4 linked regions of the Arabidopsis thaliana genome follow. The protein of the gene in region 2 interacts with the protein of the main gene of each other region in a pairwise test. Each region holds a gene or a part of one and is shown on either strand. Other genes may lie near its edges.

What was found.
Region 1: the proteins of TCP17 (region 2) and HDG2 interact in binary tests that used the Arabidopsis thaliana proteins (3 or more experiments, as listed by UniProt).
Region 3: the proteins of TCP17 (region 2) and GAI interact in binary tests that used the Arabidopsis thaliana proteins (3 or more experiments, as listed by UniProt).
Region 4: the proteins of TCP17 (region 2) and KNAT1 interact in binary tests that used the Arabidopsis thaliana proteins (3 or more experiments, as listed by UniProt).

What each region holds. Positions count from the first base shown.
Region 1 is NC_003070.9:1,512,895-1,520,933, forward strand, and holds HDG2 (homeodomain GLABROUS 2), read right to left. Parts: upstream 6,007-8,039; 5' UTR 5,676-6,006; intron 5,333-5,675; 5' UTR 5,287-5,332; exon of another isoform or gene 4,164-5,286; 5' UTR 4,131-4,163; coding exon 3,889-4,130; intron 3,811-3,888; coding exon 3,693-3,810; intron 3,116-3,692; coding exon 2,927-3,115; intron 2,558-2,926; coding exon 2,144-2,557; intron 2,070-2,143; coding exon 1,968-2,069; intron 1,897-1,967; coding exon 1,696-1,896; intron 1,669-1,695; exon of another isoform or gene 1,631-1,668; coding exon 1,456-1,630; exon of another isoform or gene 1,372-1,455; coding exon 1,100-1,371; exon of another isoform or gene 1,027-1,099; coding exon 931-1,026; coding exon of another isoform or gene 910-930; exon of another isoform or gene 851-909; coding exon 494-850; 3' UTR 480-493; exon of another isoform or gene 406-479; intron 400-405; 3' UTR 7-399; downstream 1-6. UniProt on the Arabidopsis thaliana protein: Probable transcription factor. Involved, together with PDF2, in the regulation of flower organs development by promoting the expression of APETALA 3 (AP3) in the epidermis and internal cell layers of developing flowers.
Region 2 is NC_003076.8:2,582,485-2,586,570, forward strand, and holds TCP17 (TCP domain protein 17), read left to right. Parts: upstream 1-1,873; 5' UTR 1,874-2,037; intron 2,038-2,387; 5' UTR 2,388-2,400; coding exon 2,401-3,129; 3' UTR 3,130-3,551; downstream 3,552-4,086. UniProt on the Arabidopsis thaliana protein: Plays a pivotal role in the control of morphogenesis of shoot organs by negatively regulating the expression of boundary-specific genes such as CUC genes, probably through the induction of miRNA (e.g. miR164). Participates in ovule development.
Region 3 is NC_003070.9:5,147,141-5,151,961, reverse strand, and holds GAI (GRAS family transcription factor family protein), read right to left. Parts: upstream 2,981-4,821; 5' UTR 2,549-2,980; coding exon 947-2,548; 3' UTR 547-946; downstream 1-546. UniProt on the Arabidopsis thaliana protein: Transcriptional regulator that acts as a repressor of the gibberellin (GA) signaling pathway. Transcription coactivator of the zinc finger transcription factors GAF1/IDD2 and ENY/IDD1 in regulation of gibberellin homeostasis and signaling.
Region 4 is NC_003075.7:5,147,153-5,152,929, forward strand, and holds KNAT1 (homeobox knotted-like protein), read right to left. Parts: upstream 4,008-5,777; 5' UTR 3,459-4,007; coding exon 2,991-3,458; intron 2,880-2,990; coding exon 2,754-2,879; intron 2,650-2,753; coding exon 2,511-2,649; intron 1,964-2,510; coding exon 1,707-1,963; intron 1,024-1,706; coding exon 817-1,023; 3' UTR 547-816; downstream 1-546. UniProt on the Arabidopsis thaliana protein: May play a role in meristem function, and may be involved in maintaining cells in an undifferentiated, meristematic state, and its expression disappears at the same time the shoot apex undergoes the transition from vegetative to reproductive development.

The sequences.
Region 1 (8,039 bases), on a different chromosome or scaffold from region 2:
AAGCTTACAAAAGTACCAAAATACTTGTATAAGATATTTATACAAAAGAAAGACAAACTCCAAATTCCTGATGATGGTCCATCTAACCACAAGAAGGAAAGAAAAACAGTAACTGTAACACAAAAAGAAATCCGAAAGCATTCTTTCTAACCTAGTTTTTGTTTTTGTCTAATTCAGTATGTGACAGGGGAAGTCAAATTCCCGAACCTCGTAAAACCATCTACATATTCACTTTCAAGTAAAAAGTTTTTCACTGCTTAGTTTCATCAAATAAGCAGACCAAAACTTAACACTAACAAACACTCAATGGTATTCTCTTGTGAGGTTCGATCTTGACTCCTCCGCTTTTCTCAAACTGAAATCTCTCTCTTTTTTCCATCATCACCATTTTGTTATTTCCTGCAGAAAGAAGAAGAAAAATATGATTACATCATATAATGGCGTAAAAGCGAGAAGAATATATTTAGTGAAAGTAGTACCTAATGGATGGTTTTCAAGCAGTCTCACAAGACATTGAAGCTTTGATTCTCTCAACAGTGCAAGCTATTAGATTGTTGACAGTTGCAACAGAGCCAAGAGACAGCTTAGCCGTAGGAACTGAGTCAACCAGAATCTGAAAAGCAACAGTCAAGAGCGACCCTCCATCTCCTCCAGGGGCTCCACTATTGGCATTACCATCAGGAAGAATAGCAAAACCTGATGGAAGCAGAGCCACATAGTCTGGATCACCTCCATTAAGCACTATGTTCATAGCTACAATATCGACTGGAGCATAGATCACAAAGGAAGCTGTAGGATCAGTGCAGCTCTCTTGTAGGATCAGCATATTGCTCTGGCTAGAGTTTGCACTCTGTGACATAAAGAAAGATTGAAAACTCTTAGCTAGGATCAGATGATTATAACAATAGTTCAAAACCCGGTGTAACTCACATTTACCCGAAGAAGAGAAACACAGTTTCCGGTATCCCTCCCGTTAGCAATATGTGCCATTTCTTGCACAACTCCTCCATTAGACAGAATATCCCACTGCAAAATCTCACAAAAACATCAAAACTCTGTCCAAAACAGAACAAGAGAGCGTAGTAACTAAAATAGTTACCTCATTTCTTGAATTCTCGTCTCTGAGGAAGTCAAAGACTCGCTTTGGAGGAACAGGGATCCAAAAAGAAGTGGCTGCACTAAGAACAATACCAGGAGGCCTTCCTGGATCATCCACACTCTTCCTAGTCATCACTCTAACATCTTCAGCTCCTGTACCGGACAATGTAGTCCACGTGTGAGCGGTTGAAGCACTCACTCCTGCACAAAAGCTTATAACCATCCGCTCTGCCAATTTCAGCATACTCCTCCTCCCTTCTTGGTTGGTTATCACTGCATATTCATTAATATAGAACTGTGATTCTGACTCTGACTCTGATTATGAAAACTGTTTATGAAACAAACAGTAGGTTATACCGCCAACTTCTCCAGAGGAAATGTTTGTAGCCATGACACTAGCTAACCGCTCGCATTGGCGGTCAAGAATGGCTACCCAGCGTTTAGCACCAAAGGCATGACCAGTACTAACCATGTGTTTGTATAAGTTATGAACTCCTCTGTCATCAACTTCCACATGCTCCACCCAAGTCACCTGTTACATTAATTCTCTCTACTTAAGTAAACATTTTGTATAACCTAATGTTTTTATTATATTACCTTAGAATATCCATTTGGCAATTCTTGAATCAAACATCCTGAAGCTCGCCGCCTGCATCTAGCCGGGGGATTTGGTTGGAGACTATCCAACGAAATATCGACAACCGCCCACGAACCATCTCCTTGTTGTTTACAGTAACGTGCGAAATAGGTTTCACGTGTTGGGACTAATGGAGATGGAACTTGAAACTCTGCACTCATCTGCAAGCAAAACAGAGTGGTTATTTCAGTTTGAAATTTAATTTTTACAGAATAAAAGCAAAAAAAATTACCACTTGAAGAGCTCCATTATAGTTTCCTGCAACTCCTGTCGATAAAACCGCTAATGTCATTGCTCTAGAAACCATCCCCGCGAAAATCGTCGACCATTGATTCTGCAACATCATATCAATGTTGTTGAAACTAAACAGAGAAGATTGCTTTTAAGTAAAATGAAAATGTTAATTACCACATCCATGAGAATCTCAACGATGTTAACATGATTCATGATCACAACCGCGCTTTCTCGCGAAGCTTCTGATCTATATCCAGCCGGTCTAGGTCCGATCCCTCTAGGAAAGGTCCTTGCATATTCTTCTTCGTCTAAAACCAAACTCTTCCACAGAGGCTCGTCTACTTGAACCATCCTCATGAGCTCTTCCATTGCAGCCACGGATAAGTCGATGATGACAGGTTTGTCAGATTCTGTTGGTGCAGTGATGGACTTAAGGAGATCGTTTGGATTGTTTCCATAAGCTTCTCCTCCAATATTTCCCATGGCGAGTTCTAGTGGACGTGGAGGAAGAGGAGGAGGAGACATAAGTGGATAGTTTGAGACTGGCTTGCCTACGTATTTAGCTGCGATTGCGGATATACGGTCGATCTAAAACAGACAAATAAGAAAGATTATTGATCCTTGTGGTTTTCAAAGTTTGGTCACAAGAAGAAACGTTGAGTAATGTTGTTATTATGTACTACTACTCCTTACAGTTCCAAAAATATCGTTTTAGTATCTCAATTTAATATCATAATTTTTTCTATTCTTCAATGAAAAAAAAATGTTTAAATTCTCTAATTTCAATACAAATCTATAAAAGTTTTTATTTTATGAAGAAAGAAATGATTATTGTGAAAGCGATATAACATTAGTGGTATAAAAACAAATTCTAATTTTTTATTTTATCTTCTTGACAACATTTAAGTGTAAAACTCTTAACATTATTTGAACATTTAAAATAGTTGATTCTCATACCTCTTCCCTTAATCGAGCATTTTCGAGACGGAGTTGGTGTTCGTCGAATGACATTTCTCCGATAGCTGTTGGACCACCACAATTAGGACACGAAGCATTTGCAAGAGCCTCTCGATATCTTAGGTTGTCGTTTCGAAGCTTTTCGTTCTCCGCCCGAAGATGTGAGTTCTCATGCCGCTCGTGATGATTCTGCGCAAATAAAACTTATATTCCGGTTATCTCTAAAGTTTTATACAAGTGATTTATTTCTAATTTGGGTAAAACGAAGGAACAAAGGATTTTACTTAAAAAGAGGAAAAGTGTATGTTTCAAATAAAACACTCGTGTACACGTTATGTGTTTCACCGTATTTGCATAACGTAAGCATATGTGTCCAAAACGTTTCAATCTATAGATTATATATGGCTCTAACTAAGATAATAAATAGGCAATGTTGTTACAACCAAACAATTTTCTATAGCTTGATCCGCCAAATATATAGTTCTGCCAAAGGAACAACTTTTCAATTGAAAAAAAAAATAAGTAAGAAATTTTAAGTCAAAGTGTCTCAACTAGATCTAAAATCTGCCAAAAGTCAATGAATTCATTCTGAAAGAAAACACCAGCCACCCAAAATGTTCTTAAGTATAAAGATAAGCCCTTCAATGTATATATACAAGACTTAATATGAATGAAATAACAATTTAATTAACAAGTATATATATTTTCTCTAATATATATAGATCCATTAACTAATGTATATATGTTCATAATATAAAAAGTATACCTTCATTTGGGTACGTTTGTTTTGGAACCAGAATTTGACCTGAAGAGGTTCCAAATTCAATTCACGGCTTAGCTGTTTCCTTTGCTTGTCATCTGGGTGAGGACACTCTTTGAAGAACCTATTTAACAACCAAAACAAAAGAATTGTCAAAAAACACACAAGAAAATTGAAGTAAGTGAGTAAGTTAAACACATACGCTTCCATCTCCTGGATCTGAAGTTGGGTGTGTCGATGATATCGTTTCTTCTTGTTAGGATGAAGAGGATCTTGGTCGTTTCCTGATCCTCCTTCTTGATTCTCACTTCCCGATTTAGTATTCGGACTGTCGAATTCATCGTCCCGAAGAAATCCTTCATTATTGTTGTCTTCATGGTTGTAGTTGTGGTTATTGCTGTCTGCGTTGTTCATAGCCGCAAGCAGCATATTTGGCTCGAACATCTTTTCTTATACTCCGGAAACTGAAAGCAAACCCTAGAAGCAAAAAAAAGTAGAGAGTTTTGTCAAAATTTAGGGTTTGAAGAAGAAGGGAAATTTCTTCGAGGCTGGAAAAATATGGCAATACTTTTGTCCACGTCAACAACTTTACAACCTTCTTTTTGTATGAACAACAATAACTTAAATCTTTCTTCGGAGTCGTTTATCTTTCTTCTTGAAGATCATACAAAATGATATAAGCAAACAGAAGAATTGGAGATGATTGTAGGAAACAAAGGACCCACTAATTGAAAGCAAGAAAAAAGAGCCTTGCATAAAAAAGACATCACAATCACAAATTAATTTGTTATTGAATAACCAACCCAAAAATAATGAATTTTCACATACTCAAAATTATTCGAAACTACCGATTTTTTACCCTTTTAAAAGAAAAGAAAAAAACTAATCAGCAGACTGAAATAAAAACTATGATTGATTCAAGAGTCATATCATATGTAGTGTAGATGGAAATCAATTGTTGTCCAAAGAAAAAACTTTAAAATTTCTACACTATAATAGCTTTGATGGATGGTGATTTAATTTAAAATTTCGAGGTATTTTGATCAGTTTTGATTTAGATGGGATAGGAAAGAGAAGACGAAAAGAGAAATGTTGGACTCATTTGTTCAAAGCAAATAAAATGGGAAAAAGTAGGTACAAATAAATTCCCAACTCTATCCTGTTTATTAAAAAAACAATATTTTCGTGAGAACAAAACAAAATTTAATTAAATATAATCATTAGTAGATTTTCAAAAAATAAAAACTCTTCAGGAAAAAGTGTAAACTACTATTTGGCGATTAAGAAAGAAAAAAAAATTGAAATGAAAAAAATAGTATTATATCTGTGCACCTGTGCGACGGACCAACATATAGTTATTATACAACTTACAACCAACGTGACATAAGGCCTGGGTGATGTATTAATTTTTTCCAGCTATTTCTTATCATCATCATCGTATTTAAACGTTTTTATTACACACATTAATATGTAAATGTATACTACTACTATAAAGTATATACACGTGTTTATATATAAAACCAAACGTATAATGAAAATAAGGATATACGAAGAGAATACAAACCTTTCTGTTTTTTTTGGTAGGCAAGGGAATACTAACCTTTAATCTTTCCTCTTTATTGTTTTCTTGAAGGTTTCATCTCTGACTATGCAGAAATTGATAAGATTATTTAAAGAAGAATACAATAAATCAGAAAGTCAGAAAGCAAATTAGGAGAGGAATGAAAGATATTAGAGGCAAGAAATCAATTAATTAATGCTAAAGAAGGCAAAATTTAAGACAAAATATAGATGACTAACTGAAAATTCAACATACAGGATATATTAAATTATAAAAAAAAAACATCATGAAAGTGAGAGTTTTATAAAGATGCTAAGAAAACTGAAGTGTAATGGATCCAATGATACTTTAAACAAATAAATTTGTGTACATGAATTAATGGATAAAATAAAGAAAACAGCAGAAATGATGAGGTTTTCGAGACATACACTGGGATATAGGAAGAAGCGACGAAACCCTAGAGGGAGAGAGAGAGAAGAGTAGAGCGGTGTCTGGTCTGAGATTTGTTTCTCGGAAAACCGCTGATGGTTTTGTGAAGCGCGGTTTTGTTGGCGAGCAAAAGGTTTGAAAGGTAGGTGCAAATCTTGGAGGAAGAGAGATGAGAGAGTAATGACAGAGAGAATTGAGAGGGTGCAATGAAATTAAATGGTGCGAGAGGGACACTTAATTATCCTACACGCTTATATATATATAGAGAGAGAGAGATATGTTACAATTTATTTTATTTATGTTACAAAATTATGTGTTGTTTTTCATCTTATATACAATGTCAACCTAAAATAATTTTATTTTTTATTTATTTAAAATATTATAATGTGGTGAGGAATGACGGCTAACGGTCTATGAGCCTATGAGACTTACATTTATCTATTAGATATGTAGTTATTTTTAAAAAATCATTAGCATTATTCATAACTTATGCATATGCAATAAATCACCACTTAACAAAATTAACTATATTAAAAAAAGATTTAACTATATTGAAATTTGCTTTAATACAGTTCTCCATTTACAGAAAAAGTTAGACAATAGTCCCCATTTGTCAAGGATACAATTTTAAAAGTAATTTTCTGAAATTTTAATACTCTTAGATTATTTATAATATGGAAAAAAATTATATAGTTTTTTAACTAAAATTCAATGACTTGTTATAGTTAATATTTATCTTTATGAGATATAAATTTAATTTTTACTTTCAAAAAATATGACTATTATATTTTTAACTATTTTATTTTATTATTATTTCATATCTTTGTTATAAATTTAATTGTAAAGAAGGAAAATTTCATGATTCTTCTTCCACATGGCATTTTCTTAAATATTATAGAAGTTTAGGTTGTATTATTGTTAGTCAGACAGAAGTTGATTGAGTGATGTATTTATTTTATTTCATTTAAAAGAAGAAAATCTAAAAATCATCACCTTAATTTTGAGTTTTGTTTACGAAACAATTGTTTTTTCAATTTAAGGAAGTCAATGAAATATCACTTTTTTCACAGTAAGACTTCATTTTACATGCCTAGAAATATTAATTACTTTGTGGCCCAAGCATTTATAACTATAACGTGCAATTAAGCTATTTAAAATACGGATCACCCATTAAAAAGGTGATAATTTGTAAAAGCCATGCATTCATCTTAATTTATCACGCGAATATATAGAGAAATATACTGCGTATTTAATTACCTAGTTCTTAAGCTTTGTTTTTTTTTTTAAAGTCCTTATAGCTATAGCTTTAACACTCAAGTTTTTCTTTTCAGTAAGTTTATACTTTACCTAGATTCTTTAAAATAACTATATATAAAAAAACAATAACCCAACTTATTTCTGATTTTTACTGTATATATGTAGGTACAGATATATAGATGGAGTTATACGTACGTACGTATGCGATAGGGTGGCGAATAGTTTCGACGCATTAAATGTGTACACAGAGGCTGCATGGGCTTTAGGCCATTTACTGCTCTCATGCCTCTCTTGCACTTTAACCTCCTCTTCCTTCTTCGTACTCTCCTACTAAAAAAAACTAGTAATTCAACGCCTAACATTTTAGTTTTTTCTTTTTTTTTTTTTTTTTTTTTTAGTTTTTTCTTTTTTCCTGCTACATCACTAAAAGTTAATTATTTCAAAAAAGAATTGCTACAATACTATTCACATTTTAAGTTTGTTTCATCCTCGTAAGTCTCAAATATTTATTTTTAGTTTATTTCTTTTTTTTGTCAAACTTTTAGTTTATTTCAATTAGTGTTTTTTCTGCCAATATGATCAAATCTGAGATTCAAAATGGAATTCTTCTGTTGAAAAAATGGATGCTTTTGTAATAAATTCAAGATCGTAGTTTTTTTTTGTTTCTGGGCTTCGTATATGGGCCATAAGACGGAAGTAAACTTTTGGCCCATTATATATTTTATCCCCAACGAGAATGGCAAGGCCGAAAGTCTCATTCTCCGAGAGTGGAAAGTTAGTTAAGGAAAATGATTGATTTTTTTGTTTTGTTTTGCATTAGTCTATAGGACGACTTGTTTCACAAGAAACTAGCCGTATATTGTAATATCCAATCACTGAATTGAGCAACTTGGATAGTTTACATTGAGAATGCAGGAACGTGGATTCCACAAACTATAACAGTTTATTATAGTTTTTAACTTTTGAGAGCTAAGGACTAATAAAAAAATTCCCCAAACTACATCTTCTCCAAAGTCAATAGCTTTTCAAAGCGCAAAAGATGATTTGAAGCTTTCTTAATCGTTGCATGATTTCGATTTCTTCTAATTGTGGAAATTTAATATATT
Region 2 (4,086 bases):
TGCATCAGTGACTAAGAAGAAGGAGAAGAAGCAGAAACACTATGTCTCCATCAATTTGTGTTTTTATGAATTTTACCCCAAACTACTGTTTCTTTCACCTTTTGCTCCTGTCTCTTGCAAGGACATGTCACTATTTCTCTCTCTCGGCATGAGCCTTTTGCATTTACTGCCGTACAGACCGAGAACGACGGCTCAGGAATTTGGGTCCAAAATGTGTCTGTGTGTAAGTGACATGCATACGTCATCATATGCACGTATTCCAACTTTTGGTCTAAACTGGGACACATGAGCGTTTCAATTGCACTCTGTGTTACCGTTTTGCACTCATTGTGGTTACCGTTTTGCACTCATTGTGGTTACAGCTAGGTTGTGTGACCAAACTTAATAAGATTCTCTAGCGATCAGAGAATATGGTCCGGTTTGCAGTGGTAAAAGATAAGCAGGGTTTACTTGAAATTGATTGTGGTTTTAGGACAAATCAGTTTGAAATCATTCGTTTGAGCTTCTAACCGCTTATTTCAAGTCCAAGTATCCAATTCAATATTGGTAACCGAATTAAAGGTTCGTTTTTAACCGCCATCACTAGTATGTGATCTACCGCTAGTATGTAATGTATTTGACCTCTATGAAATTGGAATCGTTCATACTTAACAAATTTCTAGGAAAAAAGGTTAAAACTATTTTCTTGTATATGCTTCAATCGTCTTGAAGATTACATAATCCAACGCACTAAAGGCTAATAAATTTTTGAAACTGAAGTCCAATCATCGTTATCTACTTCAGCCGACCTTAGGTCCCAACTAGAGAAACTTCTCAATCTCTGATTCTCTGATACACATACGCAGAGGTCTACTTATACACATTGTATACAAGCAGCTAATAATTAGTCATAAATTGTGAAACGTTTAAAAGAAAAGTAAAACAGTTTATTATAAGATATATAGTGAAATTTGGCAGTATGGCAAGAATTCACTCATTGATATAAAACCCCAATGTCATTGTTATTGAATTACAAGAATTCTTATGAAATTTAATAATTATATTTTTGTTATATGAAATTCTGTTATTGTGATATCCTGACAGTGTATATAAATAATGCTTAAAAGAATGAACTAGATATCTCACTGCCATGCAAATTATATAGTGGTCCACCATGAATCTGTATATAAGCATATTACATATCTAAGATGCTTTATTTTAACAAAAAAAAACATGTACTCTTTAATTTGGTCCATCCTCCATCTAAGACCAACCATTTTAGCTGTCAATCTATTTGCCTACTATAATATGTACAGTATTATGGAGCTCAATTGGGATCATCTCACGAAGAAAATCGAAAGGAAACCCCTAATTTTTAAAAGTTTTGGGTCTTAACATTTACTGATGCACATCACATACTATATATAATGGAATTTGCCCTATACCAAATGTAATGTATAAGTTGGTTCTCAGTAATTTTGAACTATTGTTTCGAATGATATATAGCAAAAGATCCATATGTAGTGTGTAATGAAAATGTAATTTTCTTACATTAGTATTTTCTATTGAATGGAGTCAAAGATATCGTTAAGAATGATCGTATGCATCATCAAGATTCAGGACTAGACATTCTAAAGAATGATCTCTAAGTAAGTAGATACATGTGTACACATTTTGATTATGTATATGTGTATCAGTGTATGTATATGTTTTTATTTATTATCTACTATTAGTATGGGTGATTAATGAAAATCATAGCATCTTTCTTTCCGTCAGAAAACATGTGGATAAGAGTGTCTATAGTCTACACACTACACAAATTGCTCTTTATACCTAACTAAAACCCTAGGGATTGGAGCGTATATATATATAGATATCATTTCTTGCTCAGCCTCAACCATATGTTATATTATACACTTTTAGTTTTAGATAACGAGAGAGAATAAATTATAACTGTTCATCATCTCGGTTCTTATCATTTTCCTCAACCTACGTGACAAAGAACTCACTCGATCTGTCTAAACCCAACGACTTCGTCAAGCTTACCAGTTTTTCTGTGTAAGATTAATCATCTTTTTTTCTTGCAGTAATATAATTTGAAACCTTTGTTTTCCTCTTTGGATCCTCAGATCTTCCTATTGATTCAATTGTAATCTATTTCGATTTGAGAATCACTTTCCTTTGATCTTTTTTAAGTATATATACACAAAATATCTAGTAAATTAAATTAATATGCAGTTCGAGTAATATACGTTTTCTTGATCTTAATAGGTTTTTGTTATTTACTCTATTGAAGTTGCTTTCATCTAATTAAAGTGATCACGCTTCCCAAAAATCCACAAACATTCCGAATTTGAACACTTTGTGATGACAATATTGATTTTGTTCATCTGTTTTTTGTTTTTTAGATCGACAGAGGACATGGGAATAAAAAAAGAAGATCAGAAAAGTTCCTTGTCCTTGTTGACGCAACGATGGAATAATCCGAGGATCGTGCGAGTCTCCCGAGCATTTGGAGGCAAAGATAGACACAGCAAAGTGTGCACAGTTCGTGGTCTCCGAGACAGGAGGATAAGGTTGTCGGTGATGACAGCGATCCAAGTCTACGACCTTCAAGAACGATTAGGGCTGAGTCAGCCTAGCAAAGTCATTGATTGGCTCTTAGAAGTTGCCAAAAACGACGTCGATTTGCTTCCTCCTTTGCAATTCCCACCTGGTTTTCACCAACTTAACCCTAATCTCACCGGCCTTGGAGAATCTTTTCCCGGGGTCTTCGATCTTGGAAGAACACAGAGAGAAGCTTTGGATCTTGAGAAAAGGAAATGGGTTAATCTTGATCATGTGTTTGATCACATCGATCATCACAACCATTTCTCGAATTCAATCCAGAGCAACAAGCTTTATTTCCCTACAATTACTTCGTCTAGCAGCTCTTATCACTACAACCTTGGACATCTCCAACAGTCACTACTAGACCAATCTGGTAACGTCACTGTCGCATTTTCTAATAACTATAATAATAATAATCTCAATCCTCCGGCGGCGGAAACTATGAGTTCTCTATTCCCAACAAGGTACCCTTCGTTTCTCGGTGGTGGTCAACTTCAACTCTTTAGTAGCACAAGCTCACAACCAGACCATATCGAGTAGTTCCAGCTGCAGATTATTTTTAGACGATCTTTAACAAGTTGAAGAATTCAAGTCATGTGACATGTAAGGCATTTACTATATGTACATAGAGAGAGGGAGATTTATATGGTTTAATGGTTATTGTTGGATTGATTAATCGTCACATGCGTGTATTTATAGTAGACAGTCTTATTAAAGATTATATAATAGACGCCAAATCTGATGCGAGCAAAGGTACATATTCATAATTCATGTTGTGATTGAGTTGGTAGAATATCTAATTCATTGTACCGCTACAATCAATATAAATAATATCTCTCATACAAACTTTTCACATTTGTATGTAAAGTTTGTAGTGCCTAAATATGCTATAACACAGGCCTCATTGCACGCCAAACCCTAGCTTGTACTCATATGTCCACAACCACATGCATGTGTAGTATACAAGGAACACAACACATATGATATCATCTACAAATAGAAATAAACACACTCATACACACAATGACACAAATATACGTTGTATGTATATATTTTGGGCTTAACATGTAAACTAATCGAACCGAATATTTATTTTCTTACATTTCCGAAACCAAATATGCCGCAAAAGCATTATTGAACCTATTGGAAGGATTTACGACAACTAAAACGTTTTATCCTGAATATTCATATATAGGTATATGATTTGTTGTAGCAGCTTTCCGGTAATTGGATTAATGTAAAGTGAGTAGAATCATATACTCCAACCAACAACTAGCTATATAGAGATAGATTTAGGTGATGAGTATTGCCTTATTGGGATTGGCGAATGAGAGAAGGAAAATGAGAAGAAGATGAGGCAGTTAAGACAGCAACTGAATCTGCAGTCAAGTCAAGCACTGATCCCTATATATCTTCTTTTAATTATTCTTCTTTTTTTCTTTTCTCTTTTGTCGATCCTCTTTTCACTTTCTATTAATTCTCTTTCCCTCACACATA
Region 3 (4,821 bases), on a different chromosome or scaffold from region 2:
CCACCTCAAAGTTGCTATCTTTTTTTCTGAACCATTTCTACTTGTTTTGGGATTTTTACTAAGGCCCATTAGCACTTATTCGGCCCATATATGTGGGGTAGCAAAAGTTGACTATAATCAACCATCAAACCGCCCTCGTGCCCTTTTTATACATCACAAAGGATCAAATGTCACAGTCACTCAACTATATAATACCAAAGGGTCACGAGTGAAGTCTAGTCTACTACCACCACTGTCGAATGTTTTTTTATCTCTTAAACAAGTTCGTAAACCAACTTCAATTGCTGTCAAAAAAAAAAAAAAAAAACTTCAGTCTTTTATTTACGAAGAACATCAACATCTCCCATTTTTACATATGTGGAATTATTTATGTGCAGTTGATGTTGAACAATATAATCCGCCTACTCTTTTTTTTTTTTAGGTGACATATATAATCGCCTACTATATCTTTCAGATACATGTATTAAAGGTGGACATTTGTATCTTTTCGGTTTCTTTTGTTTACTTTTCTTCTTTCAAATTAACAAATAAGAAAACTGAAAACGACTTAGCATTGTTAAAATAATCTGGTCCACCTATAATACCATGCACATTAAAAGAGCATATTCATGAGAATCAGCACATTATCATAAGAGACAGTTTAATCAGGCTCATTAGTCATTACAATGAATTTTATAGATGGTGACACTCAAGATGATTTTATTTCAACCAATTGCACATACTTGGTAACACATACTTCTATTTCTGCCTATCCAATTTACCCTCCAATGTCACATGCAAAAAAAAAAAACTCTCCAAAGCGAGATTAAAATTTTTCAATTACCTAATATAATGAAAGATAAGATCTTAACAAGTGACAAAGGGAAAAACAGTAGGATTTAGTTTGGCTTCGGTCGGAAATCTATCATCATAACCGGTTCAACAGATCAATTCATTGAGCCACCATCTAATTGGTGGAGAGTTTCCAAGCCGAGGTGGCTATGAGCGGTCGTGTGTGCCAACCCAACATGAGACAGCCGTCACTCTCCTCCACCCGATAACCCTCACCGCCGTTGAACAGAGCCAAAAGCATACTCGCTTGCTTAAACGCATTCGAACCAATATGTGCAGCCGCAAACCCAGCAGACCCGAACCGGTTCCTCCACTGACTCAACGTTTCATGACGCTCAACTCGGTCAGGTCCATCACAAGCCACAACGTTGCAGATCTGTTTACCCAAGTAAACCTCCGACATGACCTTGTCTTGACCACTCGGTACACCTTCCAACGAGTCAAACAACGTCGAGTAATAATGCAACGACTCAGTAAACCGATCTAAGAAAATCGGACTATTATGGTTCGATTCCTGCTCAACCACAGTGAAAATCTCCGGTTTAATCTGATTCACCACACCAAGAACCTTATCGATCGCACCAGGTCGTCCCAAGAGCTTGTGAAGCTCGAAAACAGAGTTAACCGCAACAGATTCAATCTCACTTGGTCTAAGCTCAAGCATCGAAGCATCAAGATCAGCTAAAGTGTTAGCCACAAATCCTCTGTACTCAAACTCAACGTGAATCGCCTCAGCTAAATGAGCCAGCTTACACCCAACTTCATGAAGATAATCGAAATTATCCGGTGCCGGTGGACCAATTCCGGTTAACCGGAAAACAGGAGGACCACCAGGTCGAAGCGCAAGAGCCTGCATAAGCGCCGGCCATTGAAGACCTTGACTCATAGAGAAATCAATGACATGAACTCTTTTCTTCCCTTGAAAAGCTTCGAGAATCGCTTGATTCGCCGTGAAGTGAGCGAACTTGAGATAAGGACAAGTCTCGTAGAAGTGCATCTGAAGAGTATCGGAGAGAGAGTGGTCGATTGGACTCTGCGACGGAGAGAGACGGTAAATCCGCCGCGCGAGAGCTTCGGCGAAGTAAGTAGCGACTTTTCTCATCGCTCCGATTTGAGAAACGGCTAAGAATCCGATTTGCTTCACCAGAGCTTCCGCTACAGTCAGATTCTCTTTCTGAACAGCTTCAGCGCAAGCCAAAAGCGCGTGAACGAGACGCACACCGTTCTCCTGCGAGTCAACCAGGACAACATGCCGAGTTGACTCAGCCGTCGCTGTAGTGGTTTCCACGACGCCGTTTGAGCATTTCAACCGCTTGTTTGTAGTATACGTATCTCCTCCGCCGCCTTGGTTAGACGAAGAAGCCGAATCGATAGCGAACTGATTGAGAATCGCGTCACCGGGAATAGCTTTAAGATCGTACTCGGCGTTAGACGACGGAGGATTAAGGTCGGTGAGCATAGAATCAAGCCACGTGTAAAGCTCCGCCGGATTATAGTGAACAGTCTCAGTAGCGAGTTGAGAAAGATCGTCTTCTTGAACATTAGACATCATAACTTCAAGCTGCTCGAGTTTCTGAGCAACATCAGCCATTTCGGATGACCTAACCTTGTAACCAAGAACAGCTAGAAGCTCATCCATGCCGTTACCGTCGTCTTCTTCATTCATCATCATAGTCTTCTTATCTTGATGATGATGATGATGATGATCTCTCTTCATGGTTGGTTTTTTTTCAGAGATGGATCTAAAAGGTTTTTCCTTCAATGTCGGATCTAGGTTTTGCTTTATTTGGGAAGGTGAAGAATCTTTAGCTTCGGGGATCGGTTAGGACTGCTTAGGATTTGTTTTTTCACTCCACTACCACTTCTAATAACAAAATAAATTGTAAAAATAGAGAGGAAGGTTATAAGAAAAAAAATGATTATTATTGTTGAGAATAAAAAGGCTCGTGATGGGGCTCGATGTCCGATGAATCATGGATCAGAGGGCTAACAGCAACATCTACAGCTCAAAGAGATAAGGCTGAAAATCACACACACACCAAAATTTGTAATTAGGGAATATATTGAAATTAATAAACTAATATATTAGGGAATATATAGCTTTTTACAGATTAATATTTTCTAAAGTTAGTATTACTTTAGAGTTTAGATGGTCATACAATTTTGAACAACTAAAAAGATTGTCATGCAACTAGTGGTACAATTTACTTTTTGTCGCTTTTTTAAGGAGTTTGTTGTGTTGGTTTTGTGTGATTGTAACTTTTGATCTAAAATACAGATATTTTTTATTAAAAAGTTTAAGTATTTAGTATAGTCTTATTAAATAAAATGGAACTTTTGTATTGGGAAAAGTAAACCATCATTAAACCCATTATGGAAATTAATATTCCATTTTATTAAAAAGAGATTGAGGGACTATGACGTTTTCCCGTTTTAGTTTTAAATTGTTAAAAAATTTAAATTGAATATAAGAAAAAGCTCCTTTTCTAACATTTTTTATAAGATCTTTAAAAAAAAAATTAAACCTTATTAGTATTTATCTGTAAGAGTGGATAAGAACTAGTAACATTTTCATTAATTACAAAAGACTTTTATATTTGTTCTTTGGATGGGGAACTAAAAGCTTTCATCATACTGTTTGAGTGCCCTAGCCTTCCCCTTTGTAATAATGTAGGCATGTTTCGAGCAAGGGGGTAGAAAAGTAAACTGCAGTATATATAAACCCATTTCAAAATAACAGTAATTATCAAATAGTAGCATTCAGTCTTTACACTTAAATAGCATTCACTATTTTGTCAATTACATGTTACGATAGAGTTAAGTTGTAATCGTTTCTTTTTAAAGTATAGTCTCGATTTTTTTTGCTATTTGTAGATAAAATTGGTTAATACAATTGTAGTATGTACTTAACGCCGTCGCTTACGGCAACTATTCTTAAATCATAATAAGATTACACAGATCAGAAAATAACAATTAGTCCCACTAATTAATGTCTTACAAAAATATTCGAAATTATTTTCGTGAAAATCAGAACTGACAACATGTGATTGGGTCCACGTGTAAAACGGGTCCCTTGAACTTACCGTACGCCATTTAGACTGTGGTCCCAAAGATCCCATGTGATTATTACACGTCTCTAAAGTATTTTTATACGCTAGGCCCTGATGAGAATTGAGATGACCATTCCCACCGTTGACGGCTCTTCGTATGGACCATCTCAATTAACGCTGTGCTACATGGTTGGTTACATGTTCTTGTGTTCCACGAATAATTATGCTCCGTTACATCATTTTCTCACAAAAAAAAAAAAACTGTTTATATTTTTAGCCACTTCACAAAAATTTATCAGATGGTATAATGGATCATTTCAATGTATATATACTATTACTTACGGAGTATAGAGTGACGTCGATAGTATTGGATTAAACATGCACCATGTCAATGTGTAATGTGTTACAAATTCGGTAGGTATAATTATTAATTTACTAGCAAAGAGAAAAAGACATCCAAAGTTTTTTACTTTGATTGGTTATCGTCATACTTGATATCAAGTGCTCTCGTTGATTAACCAAAAAAATTAAAGGTGCACTCATTGATTCCTTTATTTATTTTTTATAGTAGTAGAAGCTAACAAATGAAAATGGTGTCACATCATTCGTAATGAATATTTAGTCTGCTTTTTAGTCCAAACATTATTTTTTCTAAAGAAGTAATACAAGTCGTGATATATGTTAATTACATAAACAAGCCAATTTTAAACAAGTAAAATTGGATTACTGAATTCTTGAAATACTAGGCATTTTTGGAACAAAAAAAAAAAGGAAGAATAACTTGGGTTTACAAGATTGTTTGAGTCTTTTTGAAATAGTGAAAAAAGTGTCTCTTAACAAATTTCAATGATAGAGAACCATGCATACGCATCGGCACAAAATAGATGGACCAAAAAATGTGAATTGTCAAAATCTGATATGAGGTGGCAGATGGACCAAT
Region 4 (5,777 bases), on a different chromosome or scaffold from region 2:
GCAACGGTCATATCCCCACAATATGGTGACTCGGCTCGCTGGTCTTTGACCCTTCTTGAATCATCATTAGTCTTCTTAGAATTAATTTGCTGGTGAATAATTAACCCTAGGCCTTGTGCTTGATTGAGACTCCAATTGGGCAAGAGTCCTCCAAAATGCTCTTCATCAATCGGTTTGATAAATGTACCGGCTGATTTGGTATGGTCCCGGTTTGGTTTAATTTGGATGTCCGCATCAGATGACGAGTGGGTGCAAAGGGAGAATCTTTAACTTAATCTTTCGACAATAGTTTTTTTTTTTCTGGTAGTGATTCCATGACCTATGTATTATGATGTAATGCTTTCGCATAAGTCATAATATATGCCTGAAACCGTGTTCGAAGCAAAGATGGTTTTGAGACTTATCAACTATCGATGTTTTACATTTTGTGGATTTTGTTTTAGCTTGTGGAAAGGCATGTAAGAATCCATTAGATCAATTTGGGTTTTGTCTTTCAAAACCATACATTTCATGCCATATAAAATAAAAAAATGGAGCAACACCTTTTCAGAATAGCATTTTCCTTTCACACATTATTAAATAAAAACATTAGTGAGAAAACAAAAAAACAAAATACACCGAAAAAAAGAGAAAATAAAATGAAGGGATATTTCTGACTAGGAAGTCTCAAACTCCCCGAACGACATAAGACATTACAAAAGGCGTGAAAACAAAGAAAGCTATAAGTAGCAAACTGATGTAGGGGAATTCAAAACATGAGTTGTAACAAGAAAGCAACGAGAGGTTGTTATTATGTGGCTAAAGCTTTTGGATGTCTTATGGACCGAGACGATAAGGTCCATCACCCATGTAATGACCATCCATGTACAGAGCTGCGTGGTGCGGGTGCTGCAGACCATCCATCACCATGAACTGCATGTCTTCAGATGGTTTCCAGTGACGCTTTCTTTGGTTTATGAACCAATTGTTGATTTGTTTCTGATCTAACCCCGTTGATTCCGCCAACGCTACCTTCTCTGACTCCTGCCACACAACTCAAACCAACCATCTTCATTTATGTAGTAATCAATGTATAAAAAGCAATGCTAGAGATAATCGAAAATTATTTTTAAATGATTCTAGACATAAAAATGGAAAATGACCTAAAGTTTGTTGTTTTGAACGATTCTCTAAGTAAAATGACTAACTTCATTTTTCTTTGACATCAAGTAACGACTAACTATATGTTGTCTTATTATCTTTTTAACAACATGTCATTTATATTTACCAATATTAAACATGTTTTTTTCACTATCATTACAGTCGGTTAGATTAGTTATTTCATTTCAAACTAATTAAAACTACAAAAAAAATTAAATTGTTTCAAAATATATGGATAAAAATTTCATCACAAACTTACATTTTTTAAAAAAAAGTGATTGATATACGTGTTAGAAAATAGTATGTTAAGGGTTAGAACACCATGACTAAGATATGTATCCTAGTGACTAATTCTAGTGTTGTGAGCATTCGGATTTAAAACCATGTTGTTGGAAACCGTACAAGGATTTAAACACAAAATCGGTCATGCAAGTACCTACTTGGCCTAACATAGCGGCTTCAGAGGGAATTGCTAGCTTAAAGATAGGTTTTTAAAACACTTAATTTGTAGTATATATTTTAAAAAATATGAGGGCAAAGAGAGATGAGAGAAAATTTATACGTACAGAAGGATATGGCCACTTGTAATGCAACTCCCACCACGTGAGAAGCTTCTGCCGTGCTTCTTTAGGAAGTTTACCTTTCTTTTTCTTCTTGGATAGTTCTTGCTTCAAACTGCTTAAGTATCCACTATACTTCTTCAGCAAATGGTTCTTGAGTTCCCGATCTTCGGCCCTCGGGTCTATTTCCGGTAATTCTGTTTCCCCTCCGCTGTTATTCTCTTGTTCTTCGTCTGATGATCCCATATTGTCACTCTTCCCATCTGCTTCAACATAATATATTTCATGAAGTTAAATGGTTTAGTCATTTAACAACATTCTAGTCATCTACCTTTATGATTAGACTAATTAATCCGAGTAGAGATTTTGATGTTTTAGCATAACGAAATCGAAGAAGATAATGTCCCAAATAAATCTTCACGAGCAGCACCAAAAGTTCTTGTGATAGTACTTTTGGGCCGAGTGAAAAGAAAAAAAACAAAAATAAGCCCCACCCATCTTTGGATGGATTCCACAATGGGGAAAACAAGAACAAATATGCACACCTATTTGTATCTTACATACTTTCCAACAATAATGCATCTCAATTATCTTAATTATCTTATAATCTTAATTAACATTTGAAAATGTATGTAGACTATGATTTTTTTTTTTTTTAATATCTCAATGTTACAACAATTTACCATGAACCAAAGAAACATGCCAATTTATGCAATCCATCATTAGCCCTACCTTGCCACTACACTTTGTTTTCTCCAGCCATTTCTTACATGTGCATATATGTATGTATATGAGATTGATGACATGTACCAGGATTGTTGAGGATGTGAATGGGACTCTGACACAACATGCTAAGCTGAGATTCAATACGACGTATAAACTCCATTGCTTCCTGAATGGGCCTTGTTAGCTCCTCACGATATTTAACCAACATGTCACAGTATGCTTCCTATTCATACCAAAAAATAAAAAAGGAAAATCAAGACTTCTAACACATATACACACAAAGAACCGACCCATTTAATTAAAATTCAACTTTGGTTAGTAATGAACCATGAATTGATCTAACTCCGGGTCTCTAGAGGAGGCAGAGACAGACGGTGTTGACCGCTGTTGTCGAGCCTCAAAGTCTTGCCGTGCCGCCGTAATTCTATCAACCACATCAGGTGGAGCTCCAATCTATATAAACCATGACCCATGAACATACATATATATGTCACACATAACTATATATTATATCTTTAAAAAAAGAGTATATATTATAACATAACAATAAGAATAAAACCAAACCTTTTGGCAGTCCAAGTAAGCTTGTAGGAGGGTAGAGTAGTGAGGATGAGCAATGATTTTAGCCTTCATGGCTTCAACATCGCTTACGTTGTCATTGTTGTTGTTGTTAGCTTCTTGAGTATTGTGGATGGCTCTCATTAACATGGAGTAATGATTGATTCTTGAGGAGCTAGCTTCAGATTTAACAGATGGGTTGTTGTTGTTGTTGGGTTGATCATGATCAGATCGGAAGCAATTCTCGGTTGTTTGAGGGAGAAGAGAGCTCATATGTGGAAACAACATGTGTTGGTGGTGATGATTGTTGTTGTTAGTATTATTGTAACCAGGACCATAATTGCTACTATTATTATTGTTGTTGTTGTTGTTGGTATCACTTGTGTTATCGTTTTTGTTGGAAGAAGAGATTGGAGAGTACAAGAAACTTACTCTTTGAGGAGTGGTGCTGTTGTCATGCTGGTATTCTTCCATACCCAGATGAGTAAAGATTTGAGAGAGAGAGAGAATATAAAAATCAAAGAAAAAAAATAAATTAAAAAAAAATAAAACCCTAGAAAAATAAAAAAGGATGGGTGTAAGATGAAGAGGATGTATGTATTCTTGCTTTTGTTCTTATTTCAATCAAAGGTCTCTGTAAGACTATAACCACATCAAATCCAGACGACTAGACGACTCATCTATGAAATCAAAAAGGCCTAACTCAAATTAATATAAAAAAAGAGAGAAAATTTTGTGAGGTGAAGTTGCACCCAAAGAAAAACCAAATAAATTGAAAAAGATATATTTGAGGAAGAAAAAACGAACTAGGTATATAGAATTCGTCAAGGAAGTGACATGGAAGAGAAGAAAATAAAAAAAAAAAAAAGAGAAAGAGAGAAGAAGAGAGAAAGAGAGAGAGAGAGAGATTAACAATAATGAAGAAGTTGGGTGGCTTGAGTGGATTGACAAGACGTCGTTTGCTTTGGGAGCAAAAAGAAATATTTGAAAATTAAAATAAAGGTAAGAGAGAAGGGACAAGAGATAAGGCAAAGGCTTCTCTCTTCTGTTTTCCTCTCATAGGCTATTTTATACATTAGAACAAGACTAAGTAATTTACTTAATTAAAATGTGGTTTATAATATTCGAATTAAGATGAACCACTCAGTGTTTAAGCAACTAGGTCTTCGCGGCTACTTCAGGCTATGGTTTCTTGCTAGGTTGAATGATATATTTTGTACTATTTTCTAGTAATGAAATGTTTTTTTTTCTTAAAAGAATAGTCAAGAAAAAAGTTTTAAAAAAAATATGTATGATTTATATATACTTCTAATACGATATAAACCCAAGAATTTGTAGTCTAGTGGTTGAACATAGAGTTCGTTCAACAAATTGTGATCATGTGTCACATTATAATTCTATACTTAGGAGAGGGGACTACGTTTATCTTGTTCTGGTCCTCGGTTTCACTGTACGGGTTTCTGCCTAAAACTTACGGATAACAAAAAAAGAATTATAAACAATATGATAGAAATGTACATATTTGATGCAAGACTTGGATGTTTTTGGAGTTTAATCAAATCGATGAAATTATAATTTTAGTTTTCGTAATTTCGTATGTATATTAGTGGAGAGATCACACTATCCGAATATTTGTTATCGGATAGAAGATTACATTAGAAACCGAGAAAAAAAAAAGGAATTATAAAAATGCTTTACAGGATAGTGGATATTATACGATATTCTGCTAATTTCCAACTATTGGCTCTATGATAAGACCATGCTGCAAACACACTTCTTTCAACACTTGTTCTGTTCCACGGTCAACATTCAATTTTCTATTTAATCTCGATTTATATTTCATGATTCATGAGACGTATAGAGTGCCTATGAATTCATTTTTATACAAAAAGAAACGAAAATCCTAGGGTTTTATTTATATATAAATCGTCAAATCCTAGGGCTCTAGATCAAAAAGTTGGCTCATCGATAGATTTTTTTTTTTGTTTACCTCATCACTGCACTAGACCGAAACTTACATTGTGACTTGTGAGAGTTTGTAAACAACAAAATGTAAGATTTCTTACAAATTATGACTTGCTATGCCGGAAATTTTGATAGTAAATATTTAAATATATATGTATACATATATTATTTCTTACTATTAAAAAAATAAAATCAGCTGCTTAGAACCAATATTATTAGAATTTCATTAAAAAAAATCGAAAATGTTAAAGGTTAAATTTTTGCATTCGAAATGTTTTCTTTTCCTTTAAGACCTCCTCTTATTTTCTGTTTCAGTATAAGATGCTGAAACATTGACATCATAAAAGATCATTCATTAAGGGTACATCTTTGAATTAAATATCATAATATTCCAAAACACAAGTGCAATAGACTAAAAACACACTATAAATAAGTCTCTGATCCCAATATTCTCATTAATATGGTCATGCAAGAAGAATATATATATATATATATATATATATATATATAAATAAAAATATTATAATACCCATAACCATATGGATCTAATTTCTTATAATTTTCTATTAAAAAAAAAATTGTTTTCAAAAGTGTGTACAATTTCATAGAATTCTATCTTTTAGATTAGAAAGTCAATTATAACAATAAAATAAAACATTCAATTTATTATATAAAAATTCACCGGTAGGCATAGATTGTTCTCTAAATTTATTAATAAACTCATTTACTCATAACTATGTAACGACTTGTATGAGGTTATCTAAACCTGCAATAAAACACTCAAGAGATACACTAATTAAACTAATCTCTAAATACAACATAGCTACT